Linked DNA regions of Elephas maximus indicus. The protein of the gene in region 2 interacts with the protein of the main gene of each other region in a pairwise test. Links are inferred from orthologs where the notes say so. Each region holds a gene or a part of one and is shown on either strand. Other genes may lie near its edges.

What was found.
Region 1: the proteins of RAPGEF4 (region 2) and BMERB1 interact in binary tests that used the Homo sapiens proteins (3 or more experiments, as listed by UniProt). The link is inferred for Elephas maximus indicus from reciprocal best matches to the Homo sapiens genes RAPGEF4 and BMERB1.
Region 3: the proteins of RAPGEF4 (region 2) and SWAP70 interact in a two-hybrid assay, tested with the Homo sapiens proteins (2 studies listed by BioGRID and IntAct). The link is inferred for Elephas maximus indicus from reciprocal best matches to the Homo sapiens genes RAPGEF4 and SWAP70.

Annotation. Positions count from the first base shown.
Region 1 is NC_064830.1:76,034,020-76,043,978, forward strand, and holds the start of BMERB1 (bMERB domain-containing protein 1), read left to right. Parts: upstream 1-5,654; 5' UTR 5,655-5,767; coding exon 5,768-5,873; intron 5,874-9,959.
Region 2 is NC_064824.1:70,834,784-70,845,083, forward strand, and holds the start of RAPGEF4 (rap guanine nucleotide exchange factor 4), read left to right. Parts: upstream 1-6,096; 5' UTR 6,097-6,288; coding exon 6,289-6,353; intron 6,354-10,300.
Region 3 is NC_064825.1:64,807,298-64,817,141, reverse strand, and holds the start of SWAP70 (switch-associated protein 70), read right to left. Parts: upstream 4,616-9,844; 5' UTR 4,535-4,615; coding exon 4,436-4,534; intron 1-4,435.

The DNA.
Region 1 (9,959 bases), on a different chromosome or scaffold from region 2:
TGGGGTTGGGATTACTGGGTCATATGGTAGTTCCATATTCAACCTTTAGAGAAACTGCCAAACTGTTTTCCTCAGTGGCTGCACCGCGTTACATTCTTACCAGCAATGAATAGGGCTTTTGATTTCTCTACATCCTCTCCAACACCTCTTGGTTTTTGGTTTTTTTTATCATTGCAATTCTAATGGGGGTGAGATGATATCTCATTGTGGTTGTGATTTGCATCCCCCTAATGGCTAATGGCTAATGGTGTCATGGATTAATTTATGTCCCCCCGAAAATGTGTATATCAACTTGGTTAGGCCATGATTCCCAGTATTCTGGGTTGTCCTCCATGTTGTGATTATAATTTTATGTTAAAGAGGATTAGGGTAGGATTGTAACACCCTTACCAGGTCACATCCCGGATCCAACTTAAAGGGATTTTCTCTGGGGTGTGGCCTCTCAAGAGATAAAAGGAAAGGGAAGGTAGCAGAGAGGGGAGAACTAACACCACCAAGAAAGAAGCACTGGGAGCAGAGCACATCCTTTAGACCTGGGATTCTTACGCAGAAAAGCTCCTAGTCCAGGGAAAGGTTAATGAGAAAGACCTTCCTCTAGAGCCAACAGAGAGAGAAAGCCTTCCCTTGGAGCTGACACCCTGAATTTGGGCTTCTAGCCTACTAGACTGTGAAAAAATTAATTTCTCTTTGTTAAAGCCATCCGCTTGTAGTATTTCTGTTATAGCAGCACTAGATGACTAAGACAAATGGTAACCCTGGTGATGTATTGGTTAAGAGCTATGGCTGTTAACCAAAAGGTCAGTAGTTCAAATCTACCAGGTGCTCCTTGGAAACCCTATGAAGCAGTTCTACTCTGTCCTCATAGGGATGCTATGAGTCGGAATTGACTCGACGGCAGTGGGGTTTGTTTGTTTTTAAATGGCTAATGGGAGCCCTGGTAGCATGGTGGTTAAGAGCTCAGCTGCTAACCAAAAGGTTGGCAGTTCAGATCCACCAGCTGCTCCTTGGAAACACTATGAGGCAATTCTACTCTATCTTATAGGGTTGCTATGAGTTAGAATCAATTGACTCAACAGCAATGGGTTTGGTTTGGTTGGAATGGCTAATGAGGAGCCCTGGTGGCACAGTGGTTAAGAGCTCCACTGCTAACCAAAAGGTTGGCAGTTCAAATCCACCAGCCGCTCCTTGGAAACCCTATGGGGCAGTTCCACTCTGTCCTATAAGGTCACTGAGTCAGAATTGACTCAATGGCAATGGGTTTGGTTCGACTTTTTGGTAATGGCTAATGACATTGAGCATCTTTTCATGTGCTTATTGGCCATTTGAATATCCTCTTTGGTGAACTGTCTGTTAAGTCCTTTGCACATTTTTTTGATTGATTTTTGTTGTTGTTGTTTTCTCCTCAATAATAAAACAGAAAACCAAACCCATTGCTGTCAAGTTGATTCCAACTCATAGCGACCCTAAAGGACAGAGCAGAACTTCCCCATAGGGTTTCCGAGGCTGTAAATCTTTACAGAAGCAGACTGCCACATCTTTCTCCCATGAAGCTGCTGGTGGGTTCAAACTGATGACCTTTTGGTTAGCAGCTGAGTGCTTAACCACTGCACCACCAGGGCTCCCTGACTCAATAATAGGAGTTTTTAAAATACATCTGGGATATTAGCCCCTTATCAGATAAATGGTTACTGAAAATTTTCTCCCAGTTTGTAGATTGTCTCTTCACTTTGTTGATAAAGTCCTTTGATGAACACAAATATTTCATTTTTATGAGATCCCATTTATCTGTTTTGACCTTTGCTGCTCATGCTTTTGTTGTCGTTTCATTCCTTTTTATTGCCAAATAATAATATATTGTTTGGACATACTATATTTTATTTATCCATTCACCAGTAATGGACGTTGGAGTTGTTTCCACTTTTTGGCTATTCTGAAAAATGCTGCTATGTACAAGTTTCTGGGTGGATACATGTTTTCAGTCCTCTCAGGTGTATACCTATGAGTAGAACTACTGGGTTATATGATAGCTCTATGTTTACCCTTTTGGGAAACTGACAGACTTATTTTCCAAAGTGACTGCACTATTTTACATTCCTACCAACTGTGTATGAGGGTTCAAATTTCTCCACTCAGTAATATTTTAATAGGTTTCTGCTTTTGGTTTGGAGACCTCATTTGGTAAATGCCCATAGGGTCAGAGCTCAAAACATCAGCTAGCACAGTGCTTAGCTCTGATAATGATGATGATGATGATGATAGCTAACATGTATTGAGGCCTTCCTATGTGCTGGGTGCTGTTGTGAGTATATAATTTAGTTATCATAGCATTTGTCTGGGAGAGCTAGTGCCATTAGAATTTTAAAGATGGAGAAACTGAGGCTTGGAGGGATTAACTGATATAGCACACAGATGATACAGCTGGTAGATGGCAGAGCCAGGACTTCAACCTAGGTCCTTCTGACTTCGATGCCCATATTTTTGAAAACCATGCCATTCGGATAAGCTCAGTATCATGTACATTTGACATGGTGGACATGCTGGATGAAGTATCAAATCACCAAGATGATACTACGTTATTTTCCGTCTCAATCAACCAAAAGTGTCTTGCACCGGCCCCTGCCGCCCTGGCCCTTTGTAATCATCCAGTATCCCTCCCGAGTCCTTGGCATTCCCAGCAGAGCCGAGGCATTGAGCCAGGATGAGAAGCCAGGGCTGGACAAGAGCCACTTGATAATTCCACGCAGGTGGTTACTTCAACCAGCTATTGAACCTGAAGCATTATCACCCTAAACTAATGCAAACAGACGGGCTCTGGGCACTGCTGTGGCAGGGACAGTTTTGTCCTTTAGGATTACAGAGTTGTATCACTCACACATTTTTAGAAATGGAATTCATTCTCTTTTGAATTATAAAACAATATGTGCTCAGTATAAATGATTGGAAAATGCAGAAAATTAAAAAGAAAAAGATTTTCCCAAAATCTCAACTCCTGGAAACAACCACTGTTAATATTTTGGTGTATATACTCATAGTTTTTTTTCTCCCATGCATTAAAAACATGATTGATTTTTTTCTGATTAAAAAGTAATACATTATAAAATACAGATAAAACATTCTATACTATCTCAACATTCATTGATAGTCACTATTAACATTTTTGTATATATCATTTAAGTGTTATTGTTTTTTCCTGGATATGTATATATAACCAAACCAAACCCACTGCCATCGAGTTGATTCTGACTCATAGGACAGAATAGAACTGCTCCATAGGGCTTCCAAGGAGCAGCTGGTAGATTCAAACTGCCAACCTTTTGGTTAGCAGCAGACTTCTTAACCACTGTGCCACCAGGGCTCCTTCTATCATTATCATTCTGTGAAATATGTGATATAATTGAGATCACAGTGTACATTTGATCTTAGCCAAAAGATCAAGAACAGTAGCCCACACTATATATTATCATTTGTATCCTAATTTCCCCCTTAGGTTTTGATTAATATTGTTTCTCCCATGACATTCAAACTCCTTGTAAACATCATTTTAAATAAGTGTGCCATCATGTATTGCTTGGCATGTTCTTGATTTATTGAATCATTTCTCTTTTGTAGGATATCAGACTTTTTGTAGTTTTTCCACATTTTATATAAATTGTAAAAAACATTTTGTGTGAAGTATTTTGTAACATTTCAAATATTTCTTAGGGTTCATTCCCAGGCTCCAAAAAGCCTAGCTATTTTTTTCTTAATTATAAAATATTTCAACATAAAGAAGTGACTAACTTCCCTGAACTCACCAGCCATCTTTTATTTTAAGGATTATACACCCTTCTATTTTTTTTTTTTTTATTTAGTTGGCTTAATTTTCTTTTTTATTGATGTATAACTTCTATGCAGTAAAGGGCATATATCTTAAGGGTCCACCTCAATGTGTTTGTAGGTGAGGTTGGTCTTTTTTCACTATACCATTTTAAGCTAGCTTTGATATCAAGGTTATAGTATCTCATAAAATGAACTCTGAAACAATTTTTAGAAGATAAGAATTATCTGTTATTTGGTAAAACTCACCTGTAAAACCGTCTGGGCTGTTGCCTTTGTGGAACTGAGGAAGGAAATACATTTCTATATTAACAACTCAATTTCTGTAATAGCTATTGATTTGTTTTTTTTATTTATTAAATACATTTTGATAGTTTATATTTTTAAGACAAGTATTCATTTCAAAGTAAAAAAATCTTACTGTATTTGTGTTATGACTCCCTTTTCATTCTTAATATTATGTCTCTTGAGTCGAATGCTTAATTCATTTATTCTTAGTCTTATTTTTTTTAGCACACACACCTAAAGCTATAGATTTACTTACATCAGAACTTACAAGTTTTGAAATGTGGCTTAAACAAGTTTTCATATGCGGCAATATCATTGTTATCCAGGTCTAAATTTTTGTTGTTGTTATTTCCTTTTCTCCCATGAGCTATTTGGAAGACCATTTAAAAAAATATTAATTTTACTTATTTCATTGTTGTTGAGAATGCACACAGCAAAGCATACACCAATTCAAAGTTTCTACATATACAATTCAATTATATGGATTACATTTTAGAAGTCCTTTATTGATAATAAATGTTTAAGTCTCTTGCTAACAGGTGCTAAATCATTTTCTTTGAAATCTGTGCTGTTTTACACTTCCAGAAGACATGTGAATCCCAGGATTGCCCCAGATGATGTCTCGAAAACAAACAAGCAAATAACCCATGTCCTGTAGAGTCTGTTTGTATGATACAAACTGCCATAACTGCAGTCTAGGGAGTCACTATAACAAAGAGGCTAGTATCTGGGGTCTGGATTCAAGTCCTGACCAGACCACTTAGTAAGTGTAGGCTTTGGGCAAATAATCTTTCTGCACCTCAGCTTCCTCTTCTGTGAAACAAGGCTAATAAAAAAAGTATCTGTTTCATACAGTTGTTGGGAAGTGTTTAGCACCTAGCTGTCATATAATAAATACTACTACTTTTTCAACAATCTAATTGGTGCTGATTTTACCAAATATTTTTCTTTATACTTTCCATGTTGCCATGAGTAACATAAAACTCTGGGTTTCTGGAAGGTAGAGATCCATGTTCCCAACAGCTGTGTTGTACCTCCACCCCAAACACATACAAAGTCGACACAGGCATCCACAGACAAGACTGTCTAATTTCACATTCACAGTTGCAAAGAATAGACATCCTCACGAAAACACACTCAGCCAAGCACAGAACCCACAGATTCAGGTCCACACTCGTGCTTCTGCACACTCCCCACAAAGATGGATCCATCGCTCACAGATAGACGCGCTCACGAATCCCACTCACGGCTTAGGAGCCCGCTGGCAGATCACAAGCCACCTGCAGTGCCAGCCCCTTGCAAATCATCCAACAGCATAAACCCCTATCCATCAGCTCCAGTATGGGCAGGGGGCTTGTTCTTACTCCCTTTTGGTTGATTTTGTTTTAGCCGTTGTTGTTCTACTTCTTAGAGTTATTATCTGTGCCTCTTTCTCCCTACCCAGCCCCCCAAGCCTTTTCCAATCTTCCATTGCGCATGTGCCCTGCATCCCTCCCCCTGGGTACCAGTCGGCGCTCCCCGGCCCTGCCGGCGGAAGAGATGGAGCAGCGTCACGAGCTCCCGGCCCCTTAAAGCGCTGCTGGCTGGAGCCGCCTCCCTCCCTGCATCCCGCGGCGGGGATGGAGTAAAGGGAGATCCGTCGACCTGCCCGCGGGAATCAGCGATGGAGTTAAAGCAATCCTTGTCCACCCATCTAGAAGCTGAGAAGCCTCTGAGGCGCTATGGGGCTGTGGAGGAGACAGCGTGGAAAGCAGAGGGACTGGAGAGAAGTGAGTACTCGGGCGGGGGGTCAGTTGGGGTGCCGTGCGCCGAGCCGGTGGTCGCCAGAGCGCGGGGAACGCAGGGAGTGGAGCAAAGGCAGCGCCCCCGCGGCGGCGCTTTTTGCGCTGGAGGATGCGCAGCGATGCGCCGCAAAGCGCTCTCCCCGGGAACAAAAGGGGGACACTCCGGGCTGAGCTACACCGGGAGGCTCGGGAAATCACAAGGCACGCTAAGCCGGGAGCCTGGGCTGGACTCTGGATCCGCTAGCTCGCAACTGGTCTAGGAAAGTAGAGTCTTTCCCGCAGGCCAGGGAGGAGGGTCCTTTCGCAATCCTGATGCGCTAGGGTGCTTGAGCTGTAAGACCATCCTTTGAAAGCGCCCACAGCCCTGGAAAGGGGGGAGTGTCCGCTGGGTTTCCGCTGTGCTTTCCACCGGCGCGAGGTTCAGGGCACGCCTGAAATTTCCAGCTTTCTTTCCTCCCTTCTCCTGGGTCCGGAGGAGGTGGGGAAAACGGTAGTGGAAGGTTAACATTGTGCACACTCTTCTCCTTTGTCCGCTGACTCAATTCAAGTCTTTGGTTTGGGTACAATCCTGGAATGCATTTCCGAAACAAGTCGGCTATATTTGCTGATCCTCTCTCTGTTTTTTTTTTTTTTTTTTTTTTTTGGTGCCAACAACATTTCCAAATAAACGAAGGATTTTCGTTTTTAATTAGTAGAGTGCAACAGTTGAAACTCCTGCCCTCAAAGTGCAGAGGCAGCCAGAGGGGCACTAGGGTCATGAGCCCTTTCTGCAAACCCACGGGGCTTCCCAGTGCCTCGGCCCTTGCATTTCGCGCCCTAGAACACTGCCTCCCCACAGGCTGGGAAAGGCCCTCTTGCCCTTCTCAAGGAGCCTGCAGCTTCCGGCCTTGGCTCTAGGTAACTGCTCAGCGCTCTTACCCACGCCAACCTCAGAGCTGTGCTGGGCCAAAGTATTGTGAATCTGCTTTTTTCCTGTCGTTGATAGAAAATTGCGTTGTGCATGAGTGTGTTCTTTCTCTATACCTAAAATTAAAAATTGAGAACATCTTCCTAGAATGGCTCAGCTGTATTCTGCTTCTGATGCGTTCAAGTTCAAATCACAATCGAAGGTCTTAGTGCTTCACTTGATGCATGCCATAGGACTCTCCACCTCCCGCCTTGTCTTGTCTTCTACTTTTAGACCTGTGTCTTCTTCCCTATTTCATCCTTACAACACCGTTTGGCTTTGGTGCTCTGGTCCGTCATCAAGGCTGAGGAGTTCTGTTTCCTTTTATTGATTGATAGATTACCATATGTTAAAGTCCCTCAGTGGCTCAAATGGTTAAGCCCTTGACTACTAGCTGAAAGGTTGGTGGTTCAAACCCTCCCAGAGGCACTTTGAAAGACAGGCCTGGTGATTTGCTTCTGAAATGCTACAGCCTTGAAAACCCTATGGAGCAGTTCTGCTCTGCACACATGGCAACAACTATCTATCTGCGCTAAGAAATGTATCATCTCACTTAATTCCTGTAACAACCTCCTGAGATGAGTTTTATGACTCCCCTTGCACAAATGAAAATGTTGGGGATTGTGAGGTGATAGGATTATTAAGTGGCAGAGTCAGGACTTGAACCCAGAGCCCCTGCTCTTAGTCATGAAGGTTTATTGCCTTCATGTTTTTCACTAACCTTCCTGAGTCTGTGGAGAGAATCCCTATTGGCCCCTGTGGTCACAGTGGCTTTAGGACTTGGAAGAATGTCAGGGTCTATGCAGAGTAGAAGGAGCCCTGGTGGCACAGTGGTTAAGAACTTGGCTACTAACCCAAAGGTCTGCAGTTTGAACCCACCAGGCACTCCTTGGAAACCCTATGGGGCAGTTCTACTCTGTCCTGTAGGGTTGCTGTAAATTGGAATCGACTCAATGGCAGTGGGTTTTGGGGTTTATGCAGAGTAGAAGCTGCGTTTGAATAAGCCCTGAATTTGAATCCCCGCTCTGTCCCTTGCTGCCTATATGACTTTAGGCACATTTCTAAGCCTCTTTCTGCCTCAAAGGAGTCCTGGTGGTGCAGTGGTTAAGCACTCAGCTGCTAACCAATAGGTTGATGGCTTGGACCCACCAGCTGCTCTGCAGAAGAAAGATGTGGCAGTCTGTTTCTGTAAAGATTTACAGCCTTGGAAACCCTATGGGGCAGTTCTACTCTGTCCCATAGGGTTGCTATGAGTCCGAATCAATGTGATGGCATTAGGTTTGGTTTTTTGGTTTTTTTTTTCATACCTCTGTTTTCTGAAAGTAGAAACAGTGATAGTGTCTACCTTATAGCTTCATTGCAAATATTAAATAAGGGGATGTAGTTGGAGCTCAAGAAGCTGCTTCCGTTATTTTATTACTACATCTATAGAAGGAACCTGCTTTTATGCTTTGCAAAAATTACGAACAGCAACACCCTGGACCAAAACGCTAGTGGTGGTGAGTTCCCTAGTTTAGCTTTTTCTTTTCTCACCATTTTATTGGCGGCATTTTCAAACATACAGAAAAATTGCAGTAATCACCCATTTATAGCATTTTGCCTCCTTGAAATTTTTATGCTTCTAAGTCCCAGGCTGCAAACTGCTCAAAGTCTAGCAGAAAGGTTTTCTCATTCTCTCTGTTCCAAGCTGTCAAAAAATCTCACTCTTGCTCTGTATTTAAATGTAGGAATGCAGTTACTGATCTGCTTTTGCATAGATCCCCAAATGTGTGTGTGTGTTTAATTTTCTACCTATTCAGCCTTGAATTCTTCTTAAAGTATTGATCCAGGGTCCAAATATGAATCTTGAATCTGGGTTGGTTACCTTTAGCAGTTTTTAATCTCTATACTCTTGTCTAGAGCTTGGCATTTTTCTGACAAAGTGGCTTTTTTTGAACTCCCTCTCAACTCTCAGGGCATCTATTCCATAATGTCTGGCGCCTCCATTTATTTATTAATGAAGTGTGAAAATTAGTACTATTGATTCTGTGGCTTAACAGATGCCAAGTCAGTGTTATTATGCATGATAGCTGGAGACGGGAGTTGTTGTTAGGTGCTGTAGAGGTAGTTCCGACTCTTAGTGACCCTACGTACAACTGTACAAAACACCACTGAGTCCTGCACCATCCTCGCAATCGTTGCCATGTTCGGGCCCATTGCTGCAGCCACTGTGTCAATCCATCCCGCTGAGGGTCTTTCTCTTTTCCCTTGTTTCTGTTTCTTTGCAAATTCCTGATAACAACTGTGTGCCCACTGCCTTCCGCATGGGAAAGTGAGGGTGAAGGGCCTTTGACTCCTTGAAGACCGTCCAGTGTTCTTTTGTATGAGAAAGGTCCTGCGCAAATTGCTCACACCACCTTTGGCAGCATTTTTCTGCTAACAGTGTTTTTTTTTTTTTTTCCTTTACTCAGTTGGAAAATGTATAATGACATTTCAGTGTGGTTAGATATAAAAAATATTGCTTTCAACCAACTGTTAATAATTGAGGGAGACACAAAGGCAAGGTGCCTTGTGGAAAAGCCCAGAGCTTTTTAAAAAAACAGAGTTGTCTGTTGTTGTGACCATTTATTGGTAGACATTGAATGGCCTTTAAAGGATGGTCAAGATTTTGGATGTGGGGAGCTGGGGCTGAGTGCACTGGCAAAAACATAAAGGTGGAAATCAGTGTGCTGCGAGCAGGAGGCTAGAACAAGGTGGAAAGCTCAAATAGCAATCTTTATAAACCCAGGAGAGATGACTATTATTTAAAAGTCCAAGGATGTGTACTGACTAGCAAGCGGATCATTAAATCAGCCAGTGTTTCAGGTTTAATAAATAGCACAGAGACTGAGATGATGTGAATTACTGGCAGCCTATGTAATGGCTTCTTGGGCGGAGTTTTGTGTTACTTTCATCTGTATGATTAAATATGCTAATTTTATTATTTCAATTGGATTTTGTTTTAGCTTTATTTCTTTTTTTTTTTGTTACAGAACTACGTGTACTTTATTTAAAAAATTTCAAATTTACAAGAAATATAAAAATAAAACTGAAAAATAACCATGATCAGCTCCCTCATCCTCATTTATTCATTCAACAAACATATT
Region 2 (10,300 bases):
TTACTTGCTTACCTCCCAATTTACCAACTGCAACCATGTTCCATGCATGCGGGGAATTGGTCTGTTTGTTCTCTGCTCTTTCCTCAGTGTCTAGCACAGAGCCTGGCACATTGTAGGTGTTCAACAAATCTTTATTGAACTGAATGACTAGATGAATTAAGGGGCACAAAGAAATGAAGAAAGTCTCCATCGTTACAGTCAGTTGGGAGGTAGGTAAGTGGGTGGCAGTGGGGCCATCTGAGGTACAAACAAACCTATTATAAGCAGGTTAGGGCCTAGGTTCAGTTGAAGGGAAGGCTCTATTTCCAGGGTTAAATTGCGCAGCTCCTAGGAGGAGGTAAGGAGCCTCCAGGATCACAGCTGCCAGGCCTCTGGGGCACCAGGCAGAGAAAAGAGCTGACAGAGGAGGAATCTCCCCTCATGAGGACTTGGAGGACTGAAGGGGTGTTGTCCACCTGGTCCAGAAGGGAGGGTATTACTCCCTGCAGAGGCCACAGTGGGAAAGGATCCTATCTTCTTACCATGAACTCTTTTCCTAAACATTTTGATTATTTTCTACCTCTGGAACCAGTACTTCTAATCTAGAAATGCCAATAAAATGTATCTTCTTTACTAATTGTGCACAACCACATTTTCTAAATGAAAAATTAGTGCTACCTAAGGAAAGGGATTAACTCATTATTTTATTACCCAATTGTTTTAGTTATCTAGTGCTGCTATGACAGAAATACCACAGGGGGTGGTTTTAAGAAACAGAAATTTATTTTCTCACAATTTAGGAAGCTAGAAGTACTAAATCAGGGTGCCAGCTCTAGGGGAAGGCTTTCTCTCTCTGCTCTGGAGGAAGGTCCTTGTCTCTTCAGCTTCTGCTTCCTGGTTCCTTGGAGATGTCCGAGTATCTTGGCATCTATTTCACTCCATCTCTCCTCTGTTTGCTTGCTTAATCTCTTTTATATCTCAAAAGAGATTAACTTGAGATATACCCTACACTAATCCTGCCTCAGTAACATAACAAAGACGATCCATCCCCAAATGGCATTATAACCACAGGCACAGAGGTTAGTATTTACAACACATATTTTTGGGGGAAATAATTCAATCCATAACATCAGTAAAGATTTTATGTGTTTCTTACTTTAAATGAAAATTCTCTTTTTTACTCCCCTTGAGTTCTGCATGCCCTTGGTTTAATATAATCAATAGGATCTTTAGTCACATTCTCTCTTTCCAGTGCTTATTTTCTCTGTGGGATTCACTCTGGAAGATAGTCTATTCTTGAAGTATGTAGGAGCCCATATTGAATTACAGAGGGGAAGGAAACTATAACAAATACTGGGTGACTGCAATTCGCTGGAAATTGTTTTTATGGTACTTTTCTCTATTAATGTGAAAAATGTGTATAACAAATACTGGGTGACTGCAATTCGCTGGAAATTGTTTTTATGGTACTTTTCTCTATTAATGTGAAAAATGTGTATAATAATACAGGTAGAATTTCCCAAGTTGAATGGTACACTATTTTTCTCTCAAAGGATATCAAAAAGCAATGACATCTTGTTATTTTACCAGAATGGATAAACTCCACCAGGAAAGACTAATGGGGTAACACAGCGACATTCTCCTCACCCCAAATTATTTGCTCAAGTTTATCACTGTTACTTTGCCAACTTGACTTGAGGAAGTGGCATGCAGAACACTTTGGCAATTAGGATAGCCTTAGTTTTGGTGGGAGTCCCTGGGGGGTGCACACTATTAACACTCTCAGCTGCTAACTGAAAGGTTGGAGGCTTGAGTCTACCTAGTGGAGTCTTGGAAGAAAGTCCTGGCAATCTACTGCAAATCAGCCATTGAAAGAAAACCTTATGGACCACAGTTCTACTCTGACACACGACAGGCAACTGTTTGGTTTAGGTTTATTTTAGTTTTGGTGAGGAAGGCTATGGCATCCTTGGAGCGGTGAACCTGACTGGCCCTCAGACCTATTTTGTGCGGGAATGATTTGCATATCAATGACTTTCACCATTCTTGGCTCCCGAGGGATTGTCCCTTCTGGGAGGGAGGCCTGGTGGAGGTAACAAGCACTTTCCCACAAACTCCTAGATAGGCAGGCTGTGATGTTATACGAAATAATCCAAGTAACTACCAGTTTTCTTTACAGGAAGTCAGTGTGCTTCTCTAGCATATAATTTCACTTCTGAGGGAAAGTTCTTTCTGGTAGGACTTGGTGCCATTAACAGCTAATTCACAGATTTTAACTTTGAAGTTTTTTTTGTCTGTTTTTACTTGAGAGGGTTCATTTTAACTATGCCTCTTGACTGTATAATTTACTTTTCTGTAAAACAAGGGATTATAACTGTACATATTTCCTCCACAGGGAATATAACAACCAAGGGTTTAAACATTTTTAGTTCTTCGTGGCTCTGGAAACTGGAAGGCCATCACTGACAACCCAGTACCTTTTTTTTTTTTTCCCTTGCTTTTAAGGTATTTTGTTGTTTGTTTTCATTCCAATGCCACAAAGCTAGATATTTCTAAAGTGAGATGAAAATGAAATAGTTAATTCCTCTTTAATTTTACTTGGCTTTTACGTGCCATCATGATTCAAATACCAAAAAACTCTGCTTCTAAAACTCATAAAGAAATGTAATAATACCTAATTTAGTACTATAAATATTAAGGTGCTAAACACTGGTCATTTGTATTGGTGTCGCTGTAAACAAAATTTTAGCCACTTTCCTGTTTCCTAAGTACCATTTAAAGGTTTTAGTGCAAATATACTTCAAAAAAAAAAAGAACGAATATTCAAAAATTTGAATCGAAACCACTAAGTTGTTGATTATAACCCACGAATTGGGATTTTCCTGATTAGATATTTTTAATTACACATTTCTTCTTTAGAGAGCTCAAGGGACCACATGAGCTGTACTTTCCTAATGAGTGTGGTATTCCTTACAACTCCCAAATGAATAGCCCTGCCTGGAAAAGGCAATTGCCATGGTTGAGTAGGAATTAATGTAGAAGGTGTAGGAAAGGAAGATGACTTGATTCAGTTTTCACTTGCCTAAGTCACAGATGTTAAACTCAACTTTCATCTGAGGCACCACAATAGAAGAGATAGGAAATTCCAAAGCGAGGTGCTGAGATGCAGACTTTCAATCAAAATACCAAAGACCAGTTTCATGAGTCTTAAACTCTTTCTCTAAAGAAGGAAATGAAAGTGTCTAGGAAGTGGAAACTGAGGGAAGATTTTGTGAAGACTATTTCTTTGGTGAGACCAGTGATATGATACCTCCAATGGCAGTGAAGGGAGGGCTTCAATATGTCCCTCAAGGAACAGTTACCTATAGTTTGTGCACAGGGGACTGATGCCTGACTCCAGCCTGAAAATCTTCTTGGGCTTCTTGGGCAACAGAGAGAAGATGTACTACGTTGTTAGTGCAGTGGAACAAATCACTTTTATGTGGCTTTTCTAGCCATGGTCTTGTAACTCCCACAAAATGATTGGTTGGGTCACAATCTTGTAAGGGATTGGTTGATTTACTATGCAAATAGTGGTGTGAAAATTTTCCTAATGGGATTGTGTCCCTTACAGCCCAGCTAGGGGACTGGTTGGTTTTGTAATCTTGCCAGGCTTATATAAGGGCCAATTCCATAGAGGTTTAGGGGGACCTCATTACCATGAAGAAGAGTCTGGAGCAGAGTGTGTCCTTTGAACCCCAGAGTCCCAGTGCCAAGAACCACCTAGAACCACCTAGACCCCAGAAGAGAGAGCTGTAACACTGAAGACAGAGAGATGGTGGGCTGGCCCCATGGAGAGAGAACTGGGTGCCTCAGTGCAGGAGGTTTGCTAGCTACCAAAGAGCTGTAACATTTGCCTGTGCAAGGCAGAGGCCTGAGTGTGCCCTGTGCAACATGCTTCCCCCCCGCCACCAGGCAGCATGGTGGGAGCCATGTGGGCCTGGGGAGCGTGGCTCAGTGATTAAGCACTTGGCTGCTAACCTAAAGGTCTGCAGTTTGAACCCCCTAGAGCTCCTTTGGAGAAAAGACCTGGTGGCCTGCTCCCGTAAAGATTACAGCCTAGGACACCCTATGGGGCAGTTCTACTCTGTCCCAAAGGGTCGCTATAAGTTGGAATTGACTCGACAGCACACAAAGGCAACACCATGGCTGAAAATCATGGCAACCCTGAGGCTCTGTGTAATGACAGGTGATGTGCATGTGCAGTTTATCTCTCCACTAGCTCCTTACCGCTAAACATTCTCTGAGTAAAGGCATTTTGAGAAAGCATTTGGTGATCCTGAAGTATTATCAGTAGCTCTCTTTAATGCCTTGATAAATAAAATTTAATAAATACATAAAACTCATTACATCCTTCATACTTGTCTTCTAAAAAAGCAACAACATAAATACCTTTGCTAATCTGTTTATAGTATAATATTTTAAATGTGATTTACCTTACAAATGCTAGAAATGAGCAGGATGAAGGTCATCTGGGCTGGCAGGACACGAGCAGTCTGAAACCAGATCCTGGCTGTGGAGCAGAGGGGAGACAGTACATCCTTAAAAATACAAAAAAAAAAACCAAACCCAGTGCCCTTGAGTCAATTCCGACTGATAGCGACCCTGCAGGACGGGGTAGAACTGCTCCATAAAGTTTCCAAGGAGCACCTGGCAGATTCAAACTGCAACCCTTTGGTTAGCAGCCGTAGCACTTAACTGCTACACCACCAGGGTTTTCTAGCACATCCTCCCAAAACACACATCCTTAGGAGGGCTTTAACAGGACCATAGTTGTATAAGGATAGAAGTATCCCAGAACGCACTTTATGTTTCATTCTCCCCAGTCTCCTGGAACCTCCTCTGATCAGGGGAGTGAGGAGTGGGTAGCAGAAAACAAACAAAACACCAAAGCGAGGAAAACAGTGCTATGCCTTTTTCCCCATTGTCTGTCCCCAAACTCATGCCACAAATACCCAAACGGTGCCTGTTTGTTGTTGGTGGAGTCGATCTGACTCATGGAGAACTGATCCATAGGATTTTCAAGGCTGTGACCTTTAGTAAGCAGATTACCACACCTGGCTTCCGAGGGACCTCTGGGTGAGTTTGAACCTACAACCTTTCTGGCTGGTGCTTAACCGTTTGCACCACTTGAACACTCATTCAAAAGATTTAACTTGTCCCTAAATTGCTAAATAACTGTGAGGGACTATTTTGATTTCTGGCAGAGTGTAACCGAACAACTTCTAGGCATCACATTTGCTATAAACACCTGCAATACACAGGCCCTTATGACAATCCATTCAACACTCCAGCCATGGAAAGAATGGTGTCTGGAGCCAACTATCCAAGTTCACCCAAGTGCCTCGGGATTTTGGTCCCAAATTCCTAAACCTCAGTTTTGCTGTAACCCAACTCCTCCCCATTCTTCACTGCATTTCTTTCCATCATGCAGTTGGAAGTCCAAGCAGGTCCAAGGTTCACGGCCAGTGACTTCCGTTTTTGATTCCCTCAGTAACCACTGGTCACCTTTTTCTATCCAGGCACCTCTGGCCCACTGACCTCCCCTCTCTGTCTCAAACCATTCGTGCAATGCTTCTTCAGCTCTTCCTCACCCTTTAGGATAAATTGTCCCTTGGATTCCACACTCAGAGACCACTGTGAGTATTCCCATCCCCCAAGTCTCAATACCCCTATCCTTCACCCCATTTCAAAGGTGAGCAAGAAACCGCCAGCAAGTTTTGTCAGCTGCTGAGGAAGACTAGTGGGTTCCTAGGGAAACGGAGAGGCAGCAGCCATTTTAGTGGCATTTGCTGTATGAAAAATATATAGACACTGACAACACCCCCCATCTCCATACACCATACACAAACCCGTGGCGCCCTCCCACCTTCTCCGCTTCAGAGGCCCCAAGATGAGCGGCGGGGCCCAGGTCTCCTGGGGACGCAGTGGCCACCTGTAGCAGGTGGCCGCACCCGGGGTTGGCACCCGCCCCCCAGGCGGGCGGGACCGCGGGCCTCCTCACCGCGGGCGCCGCACTGCAGCCCGACAGCGGCGGGCGGGCGGCTCGGGCCTCCCCGCCCCGCGTCCCGCCCCTCGTGTCCCCTCCCTCGCCAGTCCCCCTGCCCCGCAGGTCGCGGGAGCCCGCTGGGAGGGCGGGTCCGTCGCCGCCGCGCTCGCAGCAGGGCAGGCAGGGAGGAGTGGAGTCCGCACCCCCTGCTAGGTGCAGGCTGAGGCAGAGGGAGCGCGGGAGGTCGCCGCTGCCGGGGACACCGCGCACCGCTGCCCAACATGGTCGCTGCGCACGCTGCCCATTCTTCCTCCTCAACCGAGTGGATCGCCTGCCTGGATAAAAGGTATCTCGGGAAGGGTCCCCAGCTGGGGTCCGGGGCTCTGCGGCGCTGCCCTTGCCCCAAACCCGCCCGTGGGTTCGGCCGCTGGTGCCGCAGCTGGATACCGGGGCGCAGCGTGGCTGGGGCTCGGGGTGGCGAGGGCCCCCGGCCTGGGGAAGGGGCTGAGAGTCCTTGTCCGGGATGCAGAAGGACACAGACCCCAGCCTCTCCTGGGGTGCCACCTGCTTGAGATTGTTACACGTGGTGGAGAAAAGGCAGCGCAGTGGGGGGAGAGAGCACCGTCCTTTGCAATCCTCCCGCCCTCTTCTTCCCATTCTCCTCGCCCCCCGCCCACCCCTGACTCCAGCCTCCGCTTTTGGATGGGGGTTTATTTTCTCTTGGGATCACGGAACAGAAGAATAGAGTCATATCTTTTTCCGGCTATTCAGACCATTAGGGGTAAACGTGATTTAATTAGGGGTAAATATAATTTAGGAGAAGAGGCAGGTGCAGAGTAACATTCTTTTTTTTGTTCCCGAAAGCAAAGTGTGAGGGACCCAGTAGAGCTGTCAAGTCCCTTGCTGAAAATCACAACTCTCTGCCCCCGCAGTCAGTGGCTCAAGGTCTGTGCTAGGAAGGTCACGCGGGAGGCTGCTTTCGTCTCAATACCGTCTTCTCGGGAAAAGACCCTTTTTCTAAAACAATTAAAACCATAAACCATTCCAACTCTAGACGACAGCCCTGTAAGAAGGGTGCTGTGTGTAACAGCGGACTGCAATTGTTTTTGGGCTCTGACAGCCTAATATTCTGTTTGGCCAGATTGTAGGTTTAGCAGTAAACATTACACGGTATGTTAGTAATTATAATTTTTTTTTTTTTTACCCTGATTAAAAGGTGATGCATCTGAACTTTTAAGAACGGAGCAAGAAATCTTGCAGAGTGAGCTGCCTCTGGATTTCGGAGTTGCATGCAAAAAAGGGCAGTGATTCACATCCTGCAGCTATCTGCATGTCATCTCTCTTTGCACTTGTGTGAAATATTGCGCTCTGCCATATTGAAATTTTTACAATTAGCAGATTCATAACCAGATCAAATTTGAAAATCTTAAGTGACATGAGCTGCATACTCTACTATTATAGGCCTTTGTTAAAAAAATTAATTTGAGGAGAGCTAAATGTGGCTCATTTGAATAACTTAATATATGTGAGAAATAATCTTGACTTTAATTACCACACACTAGCAAGATTTTTTTGGCAGACAGTGTCCTATTTATGTCTAAAATGATATGTACTAATATTAGAAGAGTTGCATGCAATAAATAGTCAGAGAATTGAAGTGATGGTTAAATCATATGGAATTAGATAGAGGAACTAAAAGCACATTGAAGAGTCTGCTAATGTGATAAGTAATCTAAATTTAATAGTTTAGGGAAGATGAATTACAAGAGAAGAGCAAATCAAGCTCTTGCACTTAAACTATAAGGAGTAGTGCTTTCTCTTGAGTGAATTTTTTTAGATAATTACGTATTTCTATTTGCAGAAATGCATGGCATGGCATTTTTGAACTGTTGGTAATTCATTTGGAAGCCTTTTTTAGTCAATAAGAACTTAAGGCAAAATCATACAGCAATACTAACACAAGACGGGTATATTTGTCTGTTAAATACAATGTGTATTTATTTGCCCAAATGACTTTGTTTGAAATGGATATTTAGAACATGGTGCCACAATCTAATGCCACCATTTATAATGGGGAACAAAGTCTACCAGGGGAAAAAAATCCCACCGTAAACACGGAGCCTCACATTAGTGGGATGCAGGAGAGCGACAGACCAGTAACTAAAGGTTTTAGGCCCAGAGCTGTCACCGGCTCCGATCTTGGACATGTCACTTCTACTTCCTTGAGTGTTTGAAAAACAAGTCTAGGACTGTCTGCCTTAGCTCCCAGGGATGAGTGGATTAAAACACAACAACAACAACAACAAAAAGACAGGGCAAAGGTACTTTGAAAACTGTGAGATGCCTTGTTAAGTATTTTATTTTGTGGTGTTAAGGGAAGCTTGCATTTTTCGTAGTGTTGATGCTGGAATTCCTATGAAGAACAGTTTAGGAGTGGCAATCTCATTGTAAGAGGGCCTTGGGGGACTTGTTTTGGTGTTGAATTTTTACTTAGATTGTTTATTTTTTAGGAGAGGGGGAGTTTGAGGGTGTTGTGGAAGTGGCTGGGTAAGTCCCCAGAAGCCACTCTGGTGCAGACACTGCCCTCTGTGTTTCTGAGAAACGCAATCATGATTCGCTATTCCGAGCACTGTGCTGGGTGTTGGGGGATGCAACAAAAATGAGGAAAAGCGTTTGTACACCGGAGTTGCTTATTAGCCTGTGGGATGGAGGGCAGGGAATGAGGCGGCTACATAAACAACTAACCACAATGCAATATGTAAGTGCTTTAACGGAGATGTATAAAGTGCTTTGGGAAAGGAAAGGAGGAGTCATAGGCTCTGCCAGGGCATTTCCCATAGGTTCCTGCCTAGACCTGGGAAGATGAAGGAAATATCACCAGGCACAGAGCTAGGAAGGGCATGCCAGGCAGAGGGAGCAACTTGTGTAAAAACTCAAAGGTGTGGTATATAAATATGCTAATTTCTTTCCAACCACAAATACCTCTTGTAACCAAATCTAGAATTATAGAAGTGTATGGCCTATTTTTATAAAGCTTTTTATTATAGAAAATTTGAAGCATATACAAAAATGGAGGCAATAGTACAATGAACTCCTTTATACTATTTGGGGATTTGCTGCTGGAACCTCTTCCACAGCTGGGAAATTTAGTTCAAATATATGCATTTTGCAAATGCCAGTTGTTATGGGCAGCTAGAAAAAGAGGAGCCCAGGTGTTGGAAACAAAACAAAACAAAAAACCCAAACAAGTTGCCATGGAATTGATTCCAATTCATGGCAACCCCATGTGCTACAGAATAGAACTGAGCTCTGCAGGTTTTTTTGTGGTTGTAATCTTTACAGAAACAGATCACCAGGCCTTTCTTCTGCAGTGCTGCTGGGTGAGTTTGAACTGCCCACCATTTGGCTCGTTGACAAGCACAAACCATCTGCACCGCCTAGCACCCTTGTTGGAAATAACAAGGGAAGTTAAAGTGGAAAGCCCGCAGGAATAAAGGAGTTTGCAATGAAAATTGAAGCAAAGAAACAAAAACAAAACAAGGAAAGTAATGCCTTCGGCGTGAACAGTAGGTGTGCCTAGCAAACTTATCATGGACAGGACGATGCTGCACCAACCTGTATGTGGAGGAGGGAGCTGAACAATATGTAGATATGTGGATTAGATTAAAGAAAGGTTATCCAAAGCATTTTATGTATCAAGTATCCAGCCCTGGGGTTATGGTGGAACCTAGGAGATAAGATTCTACACATACTAATCTTAAAATCAGGAAGACATTGACCATTTGGGTGGACATCCAGACATTGAAAAAAGTATCAACAGACATGTTGTTAAAGCGAAACAAGCTTACTACTTTCATTGATCTTACAGCTTATCCTGCTTAGGGGTGATAACAAGGATGAATTACATAGTGAACACCATTTGGAATTTAAGATAGTTAAATGCCACTTTTTTTTTTAGTGTCCTGTCCATTGTTTAATTTTGGTGAAAATATTTTTCCCGTAAGGTTTTAAGTGTATCACCTGGGAATTTAAGAACCATGTTTACTTATAGGACCATAGTTCTCATAGTTAGTAAAGGAGTACTTGAAGGGGCCACATATATTCACAGATGTATAGTGAATCCTTGCTGGTATCACTACTATGGAGCAGGAGTTGGCAAACTATGGCCCGGGGGCCATATGGGGCCTGCCACCTGTTTTTGCATGCTCTATGAGCTAACAGTGGTTTTCACATTTCTAAATGGTTGGAAATAAAAGAAGAATAATATTTTGTGGGCCACGAAATGTATATGAA
Region 3 (9,844 bases), on a different chromosome or scaffold from region 2:
CTCATTTCTGTTCAAAGTCACTGCTATCCATTTGGTCAACGATGGTTGAAGTATGAGACTTTTTTAACTGTTCTTTTCTTTTTCCCCCTCATCAATCATGGGTCAAGACCTTTGAACAGCAAAGTCTCTCTACGCATCACCCTCCTTGTCCATCCTACTGCCTCTGGCCCCCGTTATCTCACATCTGAGCTATTGCAATCATTTCCTAACTCCAATCTGCCCAATCCACTCTGGCCCAGCACATACACTACTGTCCAAGGGACTTCCTAACGTGCAATACCGATCAGGGCCCATTACCTCTCAGAAATCTTTGAGACCTCCTGGCATCTACATAACTAGCCTGGCACTCAAAGCATTCTATGCATTGACCCCAACCTATTTCTACAGCTTTATCACCAGCAATACCCCTCTCTCTCCATGCACAAAAATGTTCCATGCTCCAATCAAAATAAGTTATATAGAAGTCCTGATAAATGCCTGATTAATTTCTGTCTCCTGCAACAGCTCGCAGGATTCCCTACAGCTAACAGCAGTCAATAAATAACAAATGAATGAATGGAATTGGCTTAATCTTCACTTATTTCTACCTAATGACACCCTAGCTTCCTTCAGAGTTCATTTTGAAGAAACTTTTTTCATGAAGTAATCTTACCAGTAGGACATAATCGCCTCTTCCTCTAAAATCTCATGGCTTCTTATCTTTTATCACATTCAACATCTTTACCCAATATTTCCATATGTCTAAAGTTCTTATCTCTACCTCCAGACTTTTCATTTTTTAAGAATAGGATAATTGTCTGCTTAATATAATCTATATATAGAATGCCTTCTCTAATGGTTGCTTATTCTCATTTGCTCACCAAAATTTAAACTCTTTGAAGACAAAGATTTCATATTTGTTTCTTTTTCATTTTCATTGCCATATCCATGCCTATTTGCATACGGCACAGTGTATAACATATGAAGTATTCATTACATATTTAATGCATGTGTCAAAAGTTCACTGTGTCAAAAGTTGTGAATTCAAAAAGACAAATGCAAAAATATTTTAGAATACACATATACACTTCTGCAACAATCATTTTTAGCCCTTATTTTGGAGATGTAATTTTTAGTTTGTTATTTAATAAACCAATTATATGACATTTCTGTCAAGGAGATATTAACCTCTAAGATCCTAAAAATACTAACCTTTTTATGAAATTAGCACAGTACCTTACACACAGTACACAAACAAAAGGATATTGTATGAACTAATGAATAAATAGTAAATTATGGGAAAAAATTCTACTCCTGGCCAACGGATCAATAAACATCAAACTTCAGAGTCAAATACTGAAAAGAAAAGAACTAAATAGAAATTTTAAAATATTTTCCACTAGCAGGAGGAACAGAACTGAATCAAGCCCAAAGTTTTTCACTTAAGTAGAAAAAGGAGAGACAAAATATAATTGCACAGTTGCATTATTAACATCTCAAGGGTGAAAACTATGAACTGGCATTTAATACTTCTTGCCAAGCCTGCTGTCAAAAATCCTCTGGACACTTTTCCTATAAGCAGCCACTTGAGTATGTTATCAAAAAAAAAAAAAAAGTTTTTAATGGAATGCGACAAAAGTAATAGGGGAACATCTCATTCACACCACCAATTGGAAGAAAGGAAATGAAGAAAGCATTGGCTCTAAAGTTTTAAAATCTTAGTACTAGACTTAGCTACGGCTTACAACTGTGAGGTTGGGTAAATCACTAAAATTTCAAAAAACTCATCTGTCTCGCCTATAAAATTAAGGAGTAAATATCTGAATATAGAATAAACTATTCTTCTCTTAAGACCTCTAAAATATGCATGATGGTTGAAAACAAGATTTTACCTGTCTCATGGGGTTTTCAAGGTATGTGGTAAATTAAGAAATATGACAACTAAAACAAAAAGAAAGAAAGGACCTGTGTGGTGATACGGTTTCTACATTCCTCTTAAAGTAGTAAAATATTAATTCTAAGTAGACTGTAAAAAATTAGCTTTCTATATTATATAGAGCAACCACTGAAACAACTATTACAGAAATACAGCTCAGAACTCAATATTAAAGTAGAATATGAAATATATTCAATAATCCACAAGACAGCAAGAAAAGAGAAAAAGGAACAAAAAAACCAGAGAAAACAAGCAAATGAAATAATAAAGTGGTAGCCCTATATCCAACAACATCAATAATTACATTAAATGTAAATGGTCTAAAAAAAAAGACATGTTGTCTGCAAGAAACACACTTTAAATATACTCATATAGGTAAGTTAAAAGTATTGCAACTCCACTCAAAATCACCAAAAACTGGAAATAACACATTCTTTGAAGGTGATGGATAAACTATTGTATATCCATACAATGGATTGTTGCTTAGCATTAAAAAGGAAAGAATTATTGATACACAACACAGATGAATCTCTAAGACATCATGCTCAGTAAAGCCAATCTCAAAAGGCTATATACTGTATAATTCCATTTATATGACATTCTGGAAAAGGCTAAAGTATAGGGATTAAGAACGGATAAGTGGTTGCCAGTGATTAGGAGTGGAGGGTGGAATGTTACTACAAAGGACAGCATGACAGAGCTTTCTGGGGTGATGGAAACTTTCCATACCCTGAACATGTGGCAGTTACATGAATCTATACATGAGTAAGGCACAGTTAAGCACCTGCACTATAACAAAAGGTTAGTGGTTTGAATCCACCCAGAGGAACCTAGGAAGAAAGCCCTGGCAATCTGCTTCCAAGAGGTCACAGCCTTGAAAAACCTACGAAGTGCAGTTCTACTCTGGTGTACGTGGGGAGTTTTGGGTTTTTTGTTTGTTTTGGGGTTTTTTTGTTTGTTTGTTTTTTGTTTTTGGTATACATGGGTCATAAGCTAAAACTCAGAACTGTACACCTAAAAGGAAACCCTGGTGGTGTAGTGGTTAAGTGCTAAGGTCGGCAGTTCGAGTCCGCCAGGCACTCCTTGGAAACTCTGTGGGGCAGTTCTACCCTGTCCCATAGGGTTGCTATGAGTCAGAATCGACTCAACGGCACTGGGTTTGGTTTTTTTTTTCTTCTGGTTTTGTACACCTAAAAAGTCTATTTTAAACCAAAAAAAAACCCCACTGCCTCCTAGTCAACTCCAACTCATAACGACCATATAAGGCAGAGTGGAACTGCCCCATAGGGTTTCCAAGGAGTAGCTGGTGGATTCAAACTGATAACCAAAAGGTTAGCAGCCAAGTCTTAATCACTGTGCCACCAGGGCTCCAAAAAGTCTATTTTACTCTATGTTAATTTAAAAAATAAAGTATAATAAAACGTAAAGGGATGATCTCTGTGGACCCTTCCAGACTATGAAAAAAAGAGAGGGGAGGAAAGGAAGACCAGAGGGAGTTCTAAGTCCTACCAGCATAAAAACCAGTGCTCACAAGAGCCCCTTGATTACTGCACAAAACATATAAAGCAACCCAATCTTTAAAAATTCTTTTCCAGAAGAGGCTAAGAAAATCAGTCATTCAGATTCAAAACGTGTGTATTTTAAAATGCCTATGAAGGGCTCCTCTTGTCTGTTTCCATATTTTATACTTTCAAGAAGCTGCCAATTTCTCCTGGCTGAGCGCCACTATCCCTGTTTGGGGTTAATTTACAGTCAAAACTTTTCGACTCGACGGCACTGGGTTTGGTTTTTGTTTTATTTTTTTTATACGCTCACTTAGCGGTGGAGTCTTTGGCGGCGACGATATAGACGGTGCATTTTGCAGGGTGCTAGAATTTTTTTTTTTTTTTAGAAAAGCAGTGCTTCTCACCCGTAACTAAGGTGCCTGGCGGGACACAGTTCAACCTCCAGTTCCATACCTTGAAGACGCCAGGCGGAGGTTTTCTCAAGCCAGAAAGCTTTCCCCACAGCCAAAAGTCTCCACAGGAGGAGTCCACTGAAATCCGAGCTCTGGGGCATTTCTCTCTACACTGAATCCCCCCGTGCTCAGGGGGCGGCTGGCCGTTTTGAGGTCTTGATGTGGGACTGTGGACTATAGAAGGTTCTGCCCTGTGACCTTCCTTGGGCACGTGCCTTCCTCTCCCTCTGCGTAAGGAGGAAACTCTACTGGAGGTTCCGTAAGGGAGCTTCCCACCTACCTCTCCGAGTGCAAAAGATCCTGGGCCCCCGCGCCAAGAGGGAGCCCGGCTGGCCCCTCACAGACCCCCACCTCTCAACTTTCCCCCTCAAGGCAGGCCCCGAGGAACGAAAACTCTGGCCCGACGGCACCGCCTGCAGGCAAGGGGAAGGCAAAAAATGCCAAATCCCGGTCTCTGGCCCTCCGCCCCGAGCAGGCAGCCGGGCCGCATTCCGGCCCCCTCCCCCGCCGGCCCGGTCGGGTTTGCACCCGGGCGAAGTGGAGCGGGAGCCGGGGACGCCCACCTTGAGCTGGGACTTGGAGACCTTGCCGCTGTGGTCCAGGTCCAGCGCGGTGAAAGCGTGCCAGATGGCCTTGAGCAGCTCTTCCTTCAAGCCCCCCATGGCCGCGGCTTTGCTGGCCCGCCTGTCCCGCAGCCCCTCGGCGCCTCTGCCGCTTGGTGGCCTCGGCGGACACCGCCCGCCGCGCGGTCACCTGACCGCGGCAGGCCCCGCCCCCGCCTGGACCCGGCCTCCCCGGACCAGGTCCCGCCTGGACCCGCCCACTCGACGCTCGCCCGGGGCCAGAGCACGGCGCACCGGCAGCTTGGGGTTTTGGGGGCGGCCCACCCCTGCCGGTAGGAATGCCCGGCCTTCTGCCCCGGCTAGGACGGCAGATACCACCCCAATCCTCCGAATGTTCCCCAGACAAGCTCGGACCATTTTCCGTGCCCGCTTACACCCCAAATAAGCGCCCCCATCCCAGACTGGGTGAGCTGCCTGCCTGGCTCCGGTGGATGCCCCACCGTAAGAAAGGGAACCCAGGCCCTGTGCCGGAGACTGAGTCGCTGTCTGAGGAGAGTAGTGAAAACCCCGAAAAGTCCCTGGGCAGAGTCTCAAATGCTAGAGCAGTCCCCCAAGTAGGAGAGAATGTGGAGGGTGACGGAAGGCGTGAAAGGGCCTCTGGGGAGGCGCTTCATTCATTCAGCAAACGTTTATTGGTGCCTTTTTTTTTGGTTTACTCTGTAGTGTGCTGTGAGGGCAAGAATCAAGATTTAAGATGTGTCATTCGACGGCACTGGGGATTTGGGGTCATTAATTGAATTGTGTCCCCCAAAATACCTGTCAACTTGGCTAGGTCATGATTCCCAGTATTGTGTGATTGTCTACCATTTTGTCATCTGATGTGATTTCCCTATGTGTTGTAAATCCTATCACTATGATGTAAAGAGATGGATTAGTGGCAGTTATGTTGATGAGATTTGGAAGATTAGATAGTGTCTTAAGCCAATCTCTTTTTATAAAAGAGAGGGGCAAGCAGAGAGACATGGGGACCTCCTACCACCAAGAATGAAGAGCAAGAGTTCACGTCCTTTGTACCCAGGGTCCCTGCACTGACTGAGAAGCTCCTTAACCAGGGAAGATTGGTGACAAGGAACTTCTTCCAGAGCCGAGAAGAGAAAGCCTTCCCCTGGAGCCGATGCCCTGAATTTGTCCTTCTAGCCTACTAGACCAGAAGAGAATAAATGTCTCTTTGTTGAAGCCATCCACTTGTGGTCTTTCTGTTATAGCAGCACTAGATGACTAAGAATTTGTTACACTGGGGTGCCTCCAGGAACTTTTTGGTGAAGCTACTGAGCTTTGGAATGCTTGACCCAGCAGGGCAGATGCAGGTGTGAGCCCCGAGGGCAGAGAGGCCAAGGAACCAGGAAGCCTGAGTCTCAAAAGGTATGGCCAGGACCTCTGGGGTTTCAAAGGGTGGAACCATGGCCTCTGGTGTTTCGAAGGGTGGAGTTGCCACTCAGATGGATGAGGAGATTGGTGCATCTAAAGCCGAGTGAGCAGAGTTGCCATCCCAGTGGGCCTGAAGGCAAAGCTGAAGCCCAGAACCTAGGGGTCTCCACTCAGAATCTAGAGATTGTGGGAAATACCTACAGTCTGGAGGGCAGGGCCATTATGTGAATAGGCTCAGAGAACAGAGAATTATTTTCAAACCTTGGGGGCTAATGTAATGTGTTCTGCTGACTTGCTTGGTGCCTGTTATACCTTCTTTCCCTCCAATTTCTCCCATTTATAATGGAAATGTCTAGTTTGTGCCTGTTCTGCCATTGTGCTTTGGAAGCAGGTGACATGTATTCTAGATTTCACAGATGAAGAAGAATTTTTGGATTTGGGACTTGGAATTGATTTAAGACTTCTGCTACGATATGATGGGGTGAATATGTTTTACATGTGGCAAGAACATGAATTTTGGGGGGCCAAAGGGTGGAATGTCATGGATTGAATTGTGTCCCCCAAAAATATCTGTCAGGGACAAGGTGGTTGTAGAAAGCAGAGGTTCAGGTAACCAGGTAACCTTTTCTCTCTAACCTCCAACTTTTGAGGGTCAGTTCACACCTTATGAAGGGTTTGACCCGGGCAATGCTGTTGTTTCTGAGCTTGCATAACCAGAGATCCCCAAGGACCCCATTATATCACTCCACCCATCTTACTCATAAGAATGGGTGGACTGTTAAACACACTTATCCAAACCTAGAACAGCATCCTCCACATTGTATATGTCCAGTTAATCTCTGGAGCTTAACTGGTCACTTGAGCTCTTTGGACCTTAAATACTCCGCATATAAAATGAGCACGACTGAACCAGATATTCTAGAAAGATTCTTCCAGTGCTGGCATTCTAGGATAATAATTATCGTTGGCACACTCTAATCTGATTAAGTCATCAGGCACAGTGCCTTGCCTCTCCAGCCCAAGACTGAATCTGGACAATATTTAGAGAACAAATGCCAGGAATTTTCAAAACGAGATGGCTTTCAGAAAAAGTTTGGTTTTATGTACCTTTTATGTTCTTTAATGCACACAGATGTACCTTATTAAGGAAGGAAAAAATCATGATATGGAAGAGGAATTTGGAAAGAGCAGAAAAAGGAAAGCTGCTTCAATGAGCATGAGGTCAAATAGGAACCTGCTTGGGGCAGAGGATTTGGGGGCAGAGGAGAGGACGGCCTGCCTGAAGGGAAAGGGCATAAGAAAGGGACTGTCATGTCAGTCCCTCACCATGAGGGCTTTGGAGGCTCCACTCCACTTCACCACCATTTCTCAGGACTTCTCTTGCTCTGCCAGAATCCACCTTGCCAGTCAGCAAAAATGCGTAATTTGAACCTCTAATTTTTTCATGCCAACTCAGCTTTCCCTGGGTAGTGACAAAAACAAAACCCCCCTAACTCTCAAGGTTCAGCTTAACCACCAGATAACACTCCTTCTCTCAATGTATCTGATCTGGAAGCACCAAACAGATTCAAAGCCCTTTTTTTTTTTTCTTTTTTTTTTTTTTAAGGACATGAACAGAATGATATCCCAGGCTTCCAAATTTCCACTCTTCCACATTCCCACTCTTACAATTCAAACAAATTTTAAAGCATCATGATGTCATAGAAAAGAGCTGTGCTTTGAGATCTAACAAATTTTATTAGTTCTCTGTTGCAGTGTAGCCAATAACCCCAAAATTTAGCAGCTTAAAACAATGATAAACATTACCTTTTATTTTATGTGGGTCAGGAATTTAGAAGCTGCTTAGCTATATAGTTCTGCCTTCAGGCCTCTCAAGAGCTTGCAGTCAAGTTGTAGGGCAGTAGTCATCTATGGCTTGGCTGGGGCTGGAGGATTCACTTCCAAGGTGGTTCAACAGCATAGTACTGGTTATTCACAAAAGGTCTCAGCTCCTCCCCACATGATCCTACCCACAGGCTGCTTGAGTGTCCTCAGCAACACGGTAAATGGCTTTACCCACAGCAATTGATCCAAGAAAGAGAAAGGTAGACACTGCAACATCTTTTATAATCTAGCCTCAAAAATCACTCACCAGCATTGAAACAGCCTAAGCGTCCATCAGCAAGATGAATAGATAAACGAAATGTACATATATATGATGGATCATTACTCAGCCATAAAGAAAAATGAAGTCCTGATACATGCTACAACATGGTTGAACCTTGAAAACATTATGTGGAGTAAAGCGAGTCAGTCCTAAAAAAACAAATACTGCATGATTCCACTTATATGAACTATCTAGGATAGACAAATGTATAGAGACCAAAGTTTATCGGTAGTTGCCAGGGGCAGGTGGAAGGGAGGGGAAGAGGTAGTGCAGTGCAATGAATTACTCAGTACGGCCCTGCTAACCATAGTCTTTGTAACTCCCACCAAATAATTAGATGGGACCATGCTAATAAGGTATATGGAACCCTAACAAGGGGTTGGTCAGGTTTGCCATCCCCCAAAAAATGGAACCCTAACAAGAGGTTGGTCAGGTTTGCCATCCCAGTAGGTTTAAAATGAGCCATTCCAGAGGCAGGAAAGAGAGGATCTCACCAGCACCAAGGAAGAAGGGCAGAACATGTCTTTAGACACAGGATCCCTGTGCTGAGAAGCTCCTAGAGAAAGAGAGAGCTGTAACACTGAAGATGGTGAGAAGCAGTGACAGGAGATACCAGCAGGAGATGGCACAGTGGGCTTCCTGGCCCAGGGAGCAAGAAAGCCGAGTATCTTCCAGCAGGAGGCTTGCTGGCAGAGTAGGATGCCTCATGGCACTTGGTGGAGCTAGGTTTGCCTGCCCACAGAGCTAGAGCTGAGTACCTTAGGGCTAAGAATTACTGGCAGAGTGGGGTCCCTCAGGGTACTTATTGGTAGAGCTAAAAGAGACTTATAACACTTGCCTGAGCAGGGCAGAGACCAAGGGGCCAGAGAGAGGCATGCCTGTGAGTGTGGCTGAGAAGAGGTTGTCCTGATGGAAAAACTGTATCCTGAGTATTCCTCAACCTGAATTGTAACCTCTGACTTCCTGTTATGGATTGAATTGTGTCCCCCCAAAAATGTGTGTCAACTTGGCTAGGCCATGATTCCCAGTGTTGTGTGATTGTCCACCATTTTGTCATCTGATGTGATTTTCGTATGTGTTATAAATCCTACCTCTGTGCTATCAATGAGGCAGGATTCAAGGCAGTTATGTAATGAAGCAGGACTCAATCTACAAAATTAGATTGTGTTTTAAGTCAATCTCTTTTGAGATATAAAAGAGAGAAGCAAGCAGATGTGCATGGGGACCTCATACCACCAAGAAACAGGAGCCAGGTGAAGAGCACATCCTTTGGACCTGGGGTTCCTATGCTGAGAAGCTCCTCAGCTGGGGAAGATTGATGATGACAAGGACCTTCCTCCAGAGTCGACAAAGAGAGAAAGCCTTCCCCTAGAGCTGGCACCCTGAATTTGGACTTCTAGCCTCCCAAACTGTGAGAGAATAAATTTCTCTTTGTTAAAGCCATCTACTTGTGATATTTCTATTACAGTGCACTAGATAAATAAGACACTTCCGTAATAAACTCTGTAATTGTGAGTATTGTCTGTGAGTTCTGTGCGGCCATTGTAACAAATTATTGAACCCAGCAGAGAAATAGAGAGTGCCTTGGGATGAATGGTTGGTGTCAGAATTGGAAAAGATGGCAGAGAGAGGACGCATGTCTGACCTCCACCTCAGAGGAATCAGCCTTGGGCTGTTGATCTTGATTCCCCTCCCCCCTTGTGAAGTTAGAGGAGGTCAGATGCTGCCCCACCCCCACCCCATGCCACTTTTATAGGAGGACTCACTGCTTAGGGGACACTGATTTTCTGTTAAAGGTGATGGAAAATTTGGAAACAGATAACGGAGATAGTTGA